Sus scrofa: one gene and its partners. The protein of the gene in region 1 interacts with the protein of each later gene in a pairwise test. Links are inferred from orthologs where the notes say so. Each region holds a gene or a part of one and is shown on either strand. Other genes may lie near its edges.

Region 1 (4,446 bases):
ATTCGAAAAACATTTATTGAGCACGTCATTATTTTCCAGGCATAACTCTAAAAAAGACAGACTCAACCTCTAAGAAAGCCATGGTCTTCCCAAATGCCTGTCAGTGCCAGCTGATACCAAACTTGCTCTACCTACCTTGTATGTTATGGCCAGTACCAGTCTTCTAATGGTAAATTCCCAAGGACCCCAGTGCAAATGCCACCCCCAAACCTGATGTACAATCTTCTCCCCTTTAAGCTGCTCAGGGGGAAGGCATTTCCACGGAAAAGTGAGCCCAAACCTGCCTCATCAACCTGCTTCCCGCTCCATCCCGTGTTACAGAGCACACCCCCTTCATCACCAGCTTATCATCCCTGCTCCTTGAGGCCAGGTACTTACCTCTACAGAGTCTTGTCGGGGGTGTATCAGGTATTCAGCCAATACTGTCAGACACAGGTAGCTGTACTGCGATGCCAGTTCCAGGGCCTCCGGAAGGCCCAGAACGTATTTCTCCCCAGCACTTACCGCTGGGCATGCAGCAGGCACTCGGCAAGTGCGTGTCTAACTGGGGGTTAACGGACCCGAAGTGGACAGCGGAGGCCGGCACATCCCGGCTTCCTGCCGTCGGGATTTGGGGGCCCAGTCTCCAAGGTTTCTCCCCGCGCCGCTCCAGCAGCCGAGTCACCGCGCGCCGACTCCGTCCGCTCTAGGAACCTGGCTGCTCGTCTCTCTGGTGCTTCGAGCCGACCCCTCCTGCCGCCACCAAGCTGGCTCAGTCCGTCAGCCTCATCCCTCCCCTCATCCCCGCATTTACGCAATCGTTTCGATTAAAAACCAACTAGATGATGAAGGCAAAACTGAGTTTAAGTTCTTCACAGGCTGCTGGGGGGGGGGGGCGGTGCGGAGAACAGATGACTAAACATCATAATAGCAAGCAGCGCAAATGTTTAAAACGTAAACATACAGCTTATATATGCACAATAAAAATCAAGTTGTATAGACTACAAAACGAAAAGTGTCCCACTCTTCGGAGTTTACTATCGTTTAATATTTCGTGTATACCTTCCTAGGATACTACCAGCCACATTGTAGCTCTCAGTAAACATTTGTTAAGTGTGTATTTTAAATCACCTATGGCATCACAATAAAATTTTGCACCTCATCTTTTTCATTTAAGATGCCTTGGCAATCTTTCCATGCCAGTTTATTTTTTAACAGCTAATTAGTACTCCACTGTATGAGTGAATTTACTTAACTATGCCTACTGTATTTCTCCTTATAGGAAACGCTGTAGAGACCACCACTGAACATCTTCGCATGCGTTTATATTTCTAGGATAAATCCTACACGTTGGAACTAATTTGTCAAAGAGCATGCGCATTTGATATACAGCTCCCCTATTTAATTTCTAAGGGTGCTACTATTTAAGAGTAAACTGAGAACCCAACAGAAAAATACAGCTAAGAGGAACATAATGACTCAAAATCAGAATTAACATGTTTAATCAGAATTCACTTATTAACAAGTGAAAAGATTCAATTTTGACAGTAAAAACATTCTTTCACTCCTCTAAAAAGCAGACCTAGGGAATTCCTGTTGTGGCTCAGCAGAACAAATTTGACTGGTATCCACAAACAAATCTGACAGGTTCGATCCCTGGCCTTGTTCAGTGGATTACGGATCCTCCTTGCCATGAGCTGTGGTATATAGGGTGCAGAAGTGGCTCAGATCTGGTATTGCCGTGGCTGTGACGTAGGCCAGTATCTACAGCTCCAATTGTACTCCTACCTGGGAACCTCCATGTGCCACAGGTACCACCCTAAAAAGACAAAAAAAAAAAAAAAAAAAAAAAGCAGACCTAAAAAAAATGGCTGATCAAGACAAGACACTGCTGGGGTTTCTTGGGTTTCTGCCTCTGAAAAAAAATTTAACTGTCTTTTAGTGTGTTTAGGATGTCTTATACTACAAGCACAACCTGAATCAAGATGTTATAACCTTTGCCCTTTGTCCAGTTTTCAAGAATAAATAAGGAAAACATGTTATTTAAATATAGCTCTATCCAACATTTATGCCCAAGTGGCTATGGGTCTGGCCCCAGGGTATAGGTGAGAAAACCACCTCCTTTGGAACTGAAAGGAACAATTAGGTTAAAGTGTCAATGAACTTAGAATAATTATAATACCTCCAAGTATGGAATCATCATGAAAAGATAAAGTCAAAATAAATTTTCCAGATATTTGTTATATAAGCCTTCATACTTTGAATCTTTTAATTATTACTTTCTTTTTTATTTTGTCTTTTTGCCATTTCTTGGGCCGCTCCCGTAGCACATGGAGATTCCCAGGCTAGGGGTCGAATCGGAGCTGCAGCCACCGACCTACGCCAGAGCCACAGCAACGCGGGATCCGAGCCGCGTCTGCAACCTACACCACAGCTCACGGCAACGCTGGATCGTTAACCCACTGAGCAAGGGCAGGGATCGAACCCGCAACCTCATGGTTCCTAGTCGGATTCGTTAACCACTGTGCCACAATGGGAACTCCTAATTATTACTTTCTAATGAGAATAATAAAGATATTCCATGTTCTTTCCTTAAACTGAACAGAATCCAATGGATTTAAACTGATCTGGAGTTAAATGTTTACTCACTGACCTCAGCAAACCCCTCAAAACTCTTGGAAAAATTCCCGTTATCCACTTAACTTTACTGATAAAGGCAGAATAAAAGATACATACCTCATGGCTTCCTAAGCGATGGAATATGACTGACTTTTCAAGAAATTCTTCAAATACTCAAAAAATTACAGCTGCTTCTCCTGCAGATTTGGTCCTCCTCCCAAAAATGGTATTAACTGTTGCTTCTGATCAGCTTGCACCCAGTCAGAGTGTAGTGGGAAGTGGGTCAAAGACTCCTAAGCCCTTACTTCAGCCTTCATTGTCCCCTTTATTCTTGGTGACAGAAGACTGATTTTTCAGCTGGGTACTCTGCAACCCAGAATAAGACACTCTCCAGCTTCCCTTTCCTAAATTTTGGCCTACGATATACATGCTGAAGTTATTTATGGGAAGGCTGCTCAAAGGGAACTGACTGACCAGGAGGAATCTCCTTTTGTCCACATTTTGCATATGATAGCTGGAGCTTCAGCAGTCACTGAGGATCACATGGTAAACCTTAAGGGCTGATGGCAGAGACTGGTGTCCCTAGTGATGTCATGGATCCACCTTACCATTCCTGGACTGCTCGTCTCTGGCCTTTCCTATCTGAAAGAAAAACAAACTTTTACTAAGTCATTCCCACTTTTGTTTTTTAAACTATATGCAGCAGAACCAAGACTTTAGTAAAATATGAGGGTTCACCAGTCTTTCCATCAGCATGACAGACTGCAAAGTCTTTTCCAGACAGCAGTATCCCAAGCAACTACCACCAACCAGCAAGTGATGTTTACTAACCTGCAAGTGGTGTTAACCAATCACCCCAGTGATGTATTCAGAAGTGGACTCCCCAAAGCTCAATATTCATTACCATTAACATTTTGGCATTTACAATGTGAAGATCATGACCTCCTCCAAGCTGACTTTATTATTTGACTTCCAAAATTCCAAAACAAGGAATATTTTAAAATTACACCATCAGTATTAAAGGAAAAAAGTCCAATTTCTTCCCCCAACCATTTATTGAATAGAGTCTATGTGGCAACCACTATACTGACACTGGAGTTATCAAGTAAGATAGTTGCTACTTAGATTAATTCAGCCCAGTTCATTTAAATGACTTATGAGATCTCTTCCATAGTCTAAATGAAACTGTAATTTCTAACTTGAATCAGTGAGGTGTTATGGCAGAGATGGGGCTGGGAAATGGTAAAATTAGATGATCTTTGCTTTCCAAAATGCTTCTGCTGACTGGGGGTTGGGGGTGGGAAGGGTAGTAAAGCCAGTGGGGTAAATGTTCACATTGACCTGCACTTTAAGATCCCTCTGAGTGTGAGACATTTCCAAAGCTCATTGCTTTTATCGTATAGGAGTCTGCTGCCATAGTTCATGAGGCCCTCTACTACCTGGAGATATACAAATATGCATTTACCACATTAAAGGCTCTGAGAAGTCCTGCGGTAAGAACGCCTGTTTACCTTTGATCCCACACCACCCAGCGTCAAATTATTGTGGTCCAAAGCCGACTACAAGGAAAACAAAGGAGAAAGAGTAGAAGTAGATAGCCTCCAACTTGGCCCCAAAAAGTTCTCTGCTAGAGTGACCTTTCCTAAAGTGCTGCTTGCTTATTAATGCACTGTCTCTGACAGTCCACAGAAGACACCGCATCAGGCCAGTTTATCTCTGTGGTGATACCTCTGATGTTGAAAAAGACCTGACCTCTGCCGGAACGCTTCTCCACATTCCTTACATCCATAGGGTTTTTCCTCGTTGTGGATTCTCACGTGCTGAGCGAGGTGCGAGTTTAGTCGGAAG
Region 2 (4,097 bases), on another chromosome or scaffold:
CAGAATCCAAGCATATGACTTATGGTGGCTCCCAGTAACTCTGATACTCAGAAGTGATTATTCATAATTTAGAGGAAGAAACAAAAGGTTCCCAACTCCATGGAATAAGGAAAGCAACAGCGCAAAGGAATCCAGTTCCTCAGTCGATCCACCTCTTTCTCACCTGCTCAGCCAGGCCTCTTTCTCTCTTTCGTGGAACTCATATTGCCCTGCTTGATCTGAGGGAAATCAAGATCAGAAGTGTATCCCTGTAAATGGTAAATTTCTTTGCCTTCTTTCCTGGGAGAGTCTAACTTCAGTGCTGGGCACATGAAGAAAGAGAAGGGTTGGTGGGAGACCCCAATACATTTTCTCCCAAGCTCCTGAACCTGGAAGATTAAGAATTAGCCCGGGAAGATCCCTCTGAGCCTTCAAGCAATGTTCAGTCTAGAATAGTGTGGCAGGTAGCCCTGTCTGGGGGTCTGGAGGCCCTAATTCTTCTCGCCCCCCTGACACTTGACTTCAAGCCAAAGTTGCTTAACTCATCCCTCTGTGAACAGCTAACTACACCCTACACTTAAGGGAGCAATAAGCACCCCGACCACTAACGGGGGACCCTCTGTTCACTCCTCAGGGTTGTCCTGATGCTCAGAAGGACGAATGACGCACAGCTGGGAAAGTGCAAATCCCTCCAAAGCCCAGGCTGACACCTTGAGCATCTGATGTTGGACTAAGCGGGGCGGCAAGACTTCCCTTCTCCTACCTTCCTCGCCCATTCAGCGGCCGCGGGCCGGACGCAGAGGAGGGGTTTCGGCTGGAAGAGGGTTGGGCCTGCCGGAGGGGGGGGGGGGCGTCACACGGGGATTCTGAAATGGAGCGTTCCACGATGCACCACAGCCTTTTCTCCGCCCCCCACTCCCAATTCCAGCTTTCAGCCTTGGCTCCAGGATCGACCCTTCTGGGCGTCCACAAACCCTTAGGGGAGTCCGAGACAGGAGGACAGCGAAGAGATAAGCCTCCAGACCGACCTTCCCAAACCGGTGGCGGCCCACAGCAGGACGCACCAGCGTGAGCCTCCTGCCAACCTTGTCCTCAGCCTCTCCACTTGGCCACCCGCTCGCGGGCGCGATTCCCGCCGCGCCTTCGACGCCCCTCCCTCCCGCCCCGCCTCGGCGCGCGTCCCCCGCGCGAGCCCGCGGGGAAGCTGGGCAGCCGTGGCTTGGCGGACCCACAAAGCCCCCGGCCAGGAGCCGAGCCCCGGGCGCGCGCGGAGCGGGGCGTGGCAGGGCGGGGCGCGCAAGCCGGGCCGGGCCGGGGGTGTCGGATGTCACCCCCAGCGCACACCTCGGCCCGGGGACGGAGGAGCGAACCACTGAGATGCGGAGACCTCCCCGGTCCTAGAGCGGAGCAGGAAGTGTCCCAGGGGAGGGAGCCGGAGGGCTTCGGCCTTTCCTTTTCTCCGCGTCCGGCGGGCTCCAGAGGCAGCCAGGCCTGCACGGCGCGCCAACTGGGACGCGGCGCGGCGGTGAGTGCGGCCCGGGCGGCCGAGGCTTCTGCGGCCCGCGCGCCCGCTCGGCGCCTTCCCGCGCGCCCGGCTCCGCGCTCCCAGGTCCCTTGGCTCCCAGCCCCGCGCGCTCCGGCCTCCCTCCCTTCCCCGAGCCGAGAGGTGAATCTTCGGGCAGGGGCATAGACAACACAAATGTTGTTTTTCAGGCGTCTCCATTTGCTCCTACTTCTTCCCTCCTAAGCGGAGCCCTGGTTTTCTGGATGAGCAGGAGACGGGGTCTCGGCTAGCCAGGAACAGTCTGGCCCTTGCAGAGAACCCGCCTCAGGAAGGACACCCGGGAGACCGCGCTGGAAGGATGAGGAGCTGCTGCCTAAGTCTTCCGCCGCAGCAGGAGGGATTTGAGTTAGACGCTGGGAAGGAGTTCCAGGCTGTGAGGTGAGGAGCCGGGAGCTGGTTAAACTGGAGGCGTGCATGGGTGTGGATGTGTAGGGAGGGAAGAGGGAGAGGGATCTGGAGCTAGGAAAAGCTTGCCCCTTTCCCTGGCACAAAATGCCCATCCCCTTCTCTTTCTGCTAATCCAACTCTGTCCTCCTTATAGAGCTGCTTTAAGTGCGCCCCGCCCCCTACGGGATCCTCCAGGGACCTACGTTAGTTCATTCATCAAGCTTCATTCCTGAGCCTCCTATGTGCTAGATGCCAGGGCGACAAAGAGGAACATGGCTTTCTAGTTAGGGACGATGGGCAGAGCTAGGTGTTTTAGAGTGGACACTGAGGACTTAGGGTGGGGGCACGGGTCCCCTAGCCCTGAGAAATCTAGGGCCCTGTAGGTGTGTGATGGCAGGGAAGGTGGAGTGGATAGGGCTGGGATTGGGTTTCAGATGTAGGAGCAAACACTGGAGGAAATCCATTGGTATTGGTGGGGCAAGTTGTAAGGTGTCCAACCAGATACCCTCAGAGCCCTTTCATACCAGTGTGCATTTATCTTTATGTTGGAGAGCAGAGGTCCAGAGGTTTGGGTTTTTCTGACTGCCATTTAGTGGCATTGTTGCTCTTCTAGCCTCACCTGTCTTCCTGTGAAATGGGAAAGAAGCCTCCATTTTGCACGGAACCCTTGGGGGATGGGTGGGGGCATTGAGCTGTTGGAGGTTAAGGGGCTGGCTTGCTGGGGAGCCTTATAAACCAGATGTGGAGAGTAAGTGACCCTGTCCAAGGATTTCAGAGGCCCGATGGTTGGGGAAGAGTGACCCCATTTGCCCTTCATCTTTTCTGGGACCCATAGTCTGGAATAGTGGCTGCTACTCTATGTTGTTGCTCTATATGTATTCACTGGGGAGGTAGAGGGGCCCCTGAAGTCGTGGAGGCTGTGCTCTGAGCACCTCACCTGTGTCCTGCCTAGGAAAGGCTGTGAGTTGTGCATGGTTTTTCTTATTGTAGATTGAAGATGACAAGAGAAGGCAAAGTGGACATCTTTAAGTACTAGTGTATATTGGAGTTCCCATTGTGGTTCAGTGGTTAATGAATCTGACTAGGAACCATGAGGTTGTGGGTTCGATTTCTGGCCTCGCTCAGTGGGTTAAGGATCCGGCGTTGCGGTGAGCTGTGGTGTAGGTCACAGATGCAGCTCGGATCCTGAGTTGCTGTGGCTGTGGTGTAGGCTGGCAGCTGTAGGTCCGATTAGACCCCTAGCCTGGGAACCTCCATATGCCACGGGTTCGGCTCTAGAAAAAGGCAAAAAGACAAAAATAGATAAATAAATAAATAAAAAATACTAGTGTGTATTTAAATGTTATTGTGTACCATTCAGACTAGTGAGTTGTGCAGAGGCTCCTCAGAGAGTACTGACATTTTTTTTAGTCTTTTTAGGGTAGCACTCGTGGCATATGGAAGTTCCCAGGATAGGGGTCTAATTGAAGCTGTAGCTGCCTGCCTACGCCAGATCCACAGCAACACCAGATCCGAGCGACGTCTGAGCGAGGCCGGGGATCGAACCTGCAACCTCACAGTTCTTAGTCGGATTCATTAACCACTGAGCCATGATGGAGACTCCAAGAGTACTGATATTTTTAAATGCATAGTGTTATTTTCTTCTAGTAAACTCAGGGTGTAGCCACCTCTTAAGATTCCCCATCTCTTGTCTGGGTATCTTCTCTGCTATCTGCTTCATTTTCTGCCTATCAGTGCTTACTCCACTGAGCAAGGCCAATTCTTGCTCTGTGTTGTTCCAGCACTGCTAGTTCACTCTAACTACTGCAGGATGAATTTCTCATCTGGATTCACTTTTGAAGGCTTTTCCTGTGCATGTCTGTCTTTGTCTTTCCAGCTCATTTTGTAAAGGTCTCAAGGACAAGGACGGTGACTTCGGCTCCAAAGCCTCAAGGTAGCGGCCTTCTCATCTTGTCCATATCAGGTCCTTTCCAGGAGGACCTGGCCACTGAAGGTACCACACAGTGTTAATTACATCTCTGTCCTGCATGTGGCCCCATTGGTCTCTTGGGTTGCTTGGAACACCAATGCCACATTGAAATGCAACTGCTTTTCTCCTGGACTCCTTGCCTTGTTCATCTGGTCACCCAGTTAGGGAAATCATAATGATAGTTTTGGAAGTGGGGTC
Region 3 (3,012 bases), on another chromosome or scaffold:
ATCTGTGATGATGCAGGTTCCATCCCTGGTCTCATTCAGTGGGTTAAGGATCTGGTGTAGGCCACATAGGCAGCTTGGGATCTGGCATTGCTGTGGCTGTGGCTTAGGCTGGCACTGCAGCTCAGATTCCACCCCTAGCCTAGGAACTTCCATATGCTGTAGGTGCGCCCCCCCCCATAAAAAATAGTTTTCTAGTAGGTCACATTTAAAAAGTAAAATGACACACATGAAATTTGACATTTATATACATATATATATATATTTAGTACCCATGGCATATGGAGGTTTCCAGACTAGGGGTCGAATCGGAACTGTAGCTACTGGCCTAAGCCACAGCCACAGCCACACAGGATCCCAGCGGCATCTGCAACCTACACCACAGCTCACAGCAATGCAGGATCCTTAATCCATTGAGCAAGGCCAGGGATCGAACCTGTGTCCTCATGGATGCTAGGTGGATTCATTAACCACTGAGCCACGACAGGAAATCCTGAATTATATATTTTATTTGACTCAATATATGCAAAATATTATCAATCCAACATGTAACAACAGAAAAAATTACGGCGACACTTTATCTTTTTCATACCAAGTCCTGTATATATGTCACGTTACAGGACATTCCCTTTCTGACTAGCCACATTTCAAGAACTAACGAGGTAAGCATACATACCTAGTGACCACTATATGGCAGTACACATTTAGTCTATTTAGTAATCCTAAAATTAAAAGCAAAACCTACAGCGCCACCTGTCCCTTGATTCCAGAGGACACGCAAAAAAAAAAAAAAAAAAAAAAAGTTCTTCAGCATTTACTTTGTGCCATGAGAAGGGCAAGTTTTACTCTGTGTGCTGAGGATCTTACACACGTTATCTGTGTCACTCCCTCTACCAGGCAGGTGTACTGCCCTCTTTCGACTGAGCGAAAGAACTTTCCCGAGTTGGGCCCTCCCCCTAATGCCTGACAGTCATCCCGCCGTCCCTTCTCTGCCACCTGCTGGGCCCCAGACCCCGCGAGCTCTGGCTCGCCTTCATCCCAATTAGGGTCGGGTAAAAAGGTGCGCATGCAGAGGCAGGGGCGGCGCAGGTCACCTGCCGGCCGAAGCCACCAAGTCGCATGATGACCCTTTTGGGCCCCTCCTCCTTGGGCCTGAGTAGGCGTTCCGGCACCGGCTCCTCCCCCGACTCCTCCTCCAACTCCTCCTCAGAGTTCTCCTCCTCAGAGTCATCCTCCGACACCTCCTCGGGTTCCTTCCCCGCCTCCTCCTTCTCCTCGAACTGGTGCTCGGAGGCGCCACCATCCCGAACTGACCATTGCACGCTTAGATTAGCCGGGTGCCCTGCTGTGGCCGCCGCCTCCTGGCGGGACTCGCGAACGCGAGGGGGCGCCGCGTCCTCGAGCCCAGACTCGGCTTCCGGGCGCTCGCGCACCGAGGTCATCATAGAGAAGCCAGCGGGGACGACCACTTCCGGCCGCCCCAGCCGCTTCGCCGGCGCTGGTAAGCTCACGGCGCCCCCCGCCCGCCTCCCTCAGGGTCTCGCGGACTCCGCCCTCTAGCGGAAACGTCTCCCTCCTTACCCAGCCCCCGCGCAGACGTAGTGCCGCGCCCTCAGCTGCGGGACAAAGAGTGACGTCCGTAGCGGAGTTATGGCGGCCACCGAGCTGAGCTTGGCGGCTACCGGGAGTCTCGCGCTGCCGTTGGGGAAAGAAGAAGGGGCCGGCCCGAGCTCAGGCCCGGAGCGTGACTCTGCGGACTCCTTCTCGACTCCTGAGGCCCCACCGCCTGCCCCCAAGCCCTCCAGCCCCAAGGCCGAGGTCGCCGAAGAGAATCCTACGCCTCACTCGGCCGCCTCCGCCTCCCTGGAGCTGCCCCTCGGGCCCGCAGCCCTGGGCTCCGCGTCGTTTGCCGAAGCAGCTCCGCGCTCACCCCCAGGCCCTGGCGGTTCCCGGCCCGGCCCAGAGACGTTCCGCCAGCGATTCCGGCAGTTCCGCTACCAAGACGCGGCAGGCCCGCGGGAAGCGTTCCGGCAGCTGCGGGAGCTTTCCCGCCAGTGGCTGCGGCCCGACATCCGCACGAAGGAGCAGATCGTGGAGATGCTGGTGCAAGAGCAGCTGCTCGCCATCCTGCCCGAGGCGGCGCGGGCCCGGCGGCTTCGCCGCCGCACAGACGTACGCATTACAGGCTGAGCAGCCGGGCTGCCGGCGGCCCGGCTCTCCATTCTGCGTTAATGAAAAACGAGTTTTGGCTGTTCCTGCAGTCTCGAGTGTCCTTTTCGGTCGTCCTTTGCAATGTTTATTTCCCCGAGCCTATTTCCAACCTTTCTGACTGGTGGCGAAATCAAGTTGGGAGCTCATGAGAATAAAGCCTTTCTTATTCACTTGACCTTCGTAGGTTTTGTGGAATCATTGGGTTGGCTAGGCTTGGGCCTCCACATCTGGGAAATTTTCTCCTGCGCGTTCCCTAGGACCCCACTTGGGTTTCCTTTGTTTGGTAATGTGGGTCCAGCAGCCTGGGTTCCGTATTCGCTCTACCCTCTCACTAGCTGGAATTTGAGCTTGTTTTCCTACCTAAGAGGGTAGATGATGGTTATAGTCTTACCTTATGACTGTGGGATGGTGCAGACAAATTGTTAGCTCTACTAAATACTCGTTTAAGTGGCCATTGCTGTATCAATACTGCCAAACTACTTGTCCCACCTGCCTGCCCTTTGGGCACTGGCTTCCCCAAAGGCCCAATTCATCAGGCTATTTTTTTTTTTTTTAATAGGCAAGAAACAGATTTATTAGGATAGGACGCTTGTGAGAGAAGCAAGCGGGCAGGTGAGCAAGCTTCACCCTGGAGGATACTGTGGGCCAGTTTTATCATCCATGGAAAGTGGGATTGGAAAGGCCCGCCTCTTCCTTCCTGGGAGAAGTAGCTCCTCCTTAGTATCTGATAAGGTGTGTATTCAAATCAGCTGAAGGGCGGTCCTCAAACTCTTGCTCTTGATCTGAATCTGAATGCAGGCCTCT

What was found.
Region 2: the proteins of PGBD1 (region 1) and ZNF496 interact in binary tests that used the Homo sapiens proteins (3 or more experiments, as listed by UniProt). The two-hybrid records come from large-scale screens. The link is inferred for Sus scrofa from reciprocal best matches to the Homo sapiens genes PGBD1 and ZNF496.
Region 3: the proteins of PGBD1 (region 1) and SCAND1 interact in binary tests that used the Homo sapiens proteins (3 or more experiments, as listed by UniProt). The two-hybrid records come from large-scale screens. The link is inferred for Sus scrofa from reciprocal best matches to the Homo sapiens genes PGBD1 and SCAND1.

What each region holds. Positions count from the first base shown.
Region 1 is NC_010449.5:22,132,158-22,136,603, reverse strand, and holds the start of PGBD1 (piggyBac transposable element-derived protein 1), read right to left. Parts: upstream 2,827-4,446; 5' UTR 2,716-2,826; exon of another isoform or gene 1,465-2,715; intron 862-1,464; exon of another isoform or gene 859-861; 5' UTR 379-858; intron 1-378. Other genes in the region: ZSCAN26 (zinc finger and SCAN domain-containing protein 26), read right to left, coding at 4,299-4,446.
Region 2 is NC_010444.4:57,052,244-57,056,340, forward strand, and holds the start of ZNF496 (zinc finger protein 496), read left to right. Parts: upstream 1-1,173; 5' UTR 1,174-1,504; intron 1,505-1,692; 5' UTR 1,693-1,921; intron 1,922-3,806; 5' UTR 3,807-4,097. UniProt on the Homo sapiens protein: DNA-binding transcription factor that can both act as an activator and a repressor.
Region 3 is NC_010459.5:39,243,827-39,246,838, reverse strand, and holds SCAND1 (SCAN domain-containing protein 1), read left to right. Parts: upstream 1-1,442; 5' UTR 1,443-1,647; coding exon 1,648-2,187; 3' UTR 2,188-2,383; downstream 2,384-3,012. Other genes in the region: CNBD2 (cyclic nucleotide-binding domain-containing protein 2), read right to left, coding at 1,092-1,442. UniProt on the Homo sapiens protein: May regulate transcriptional activity.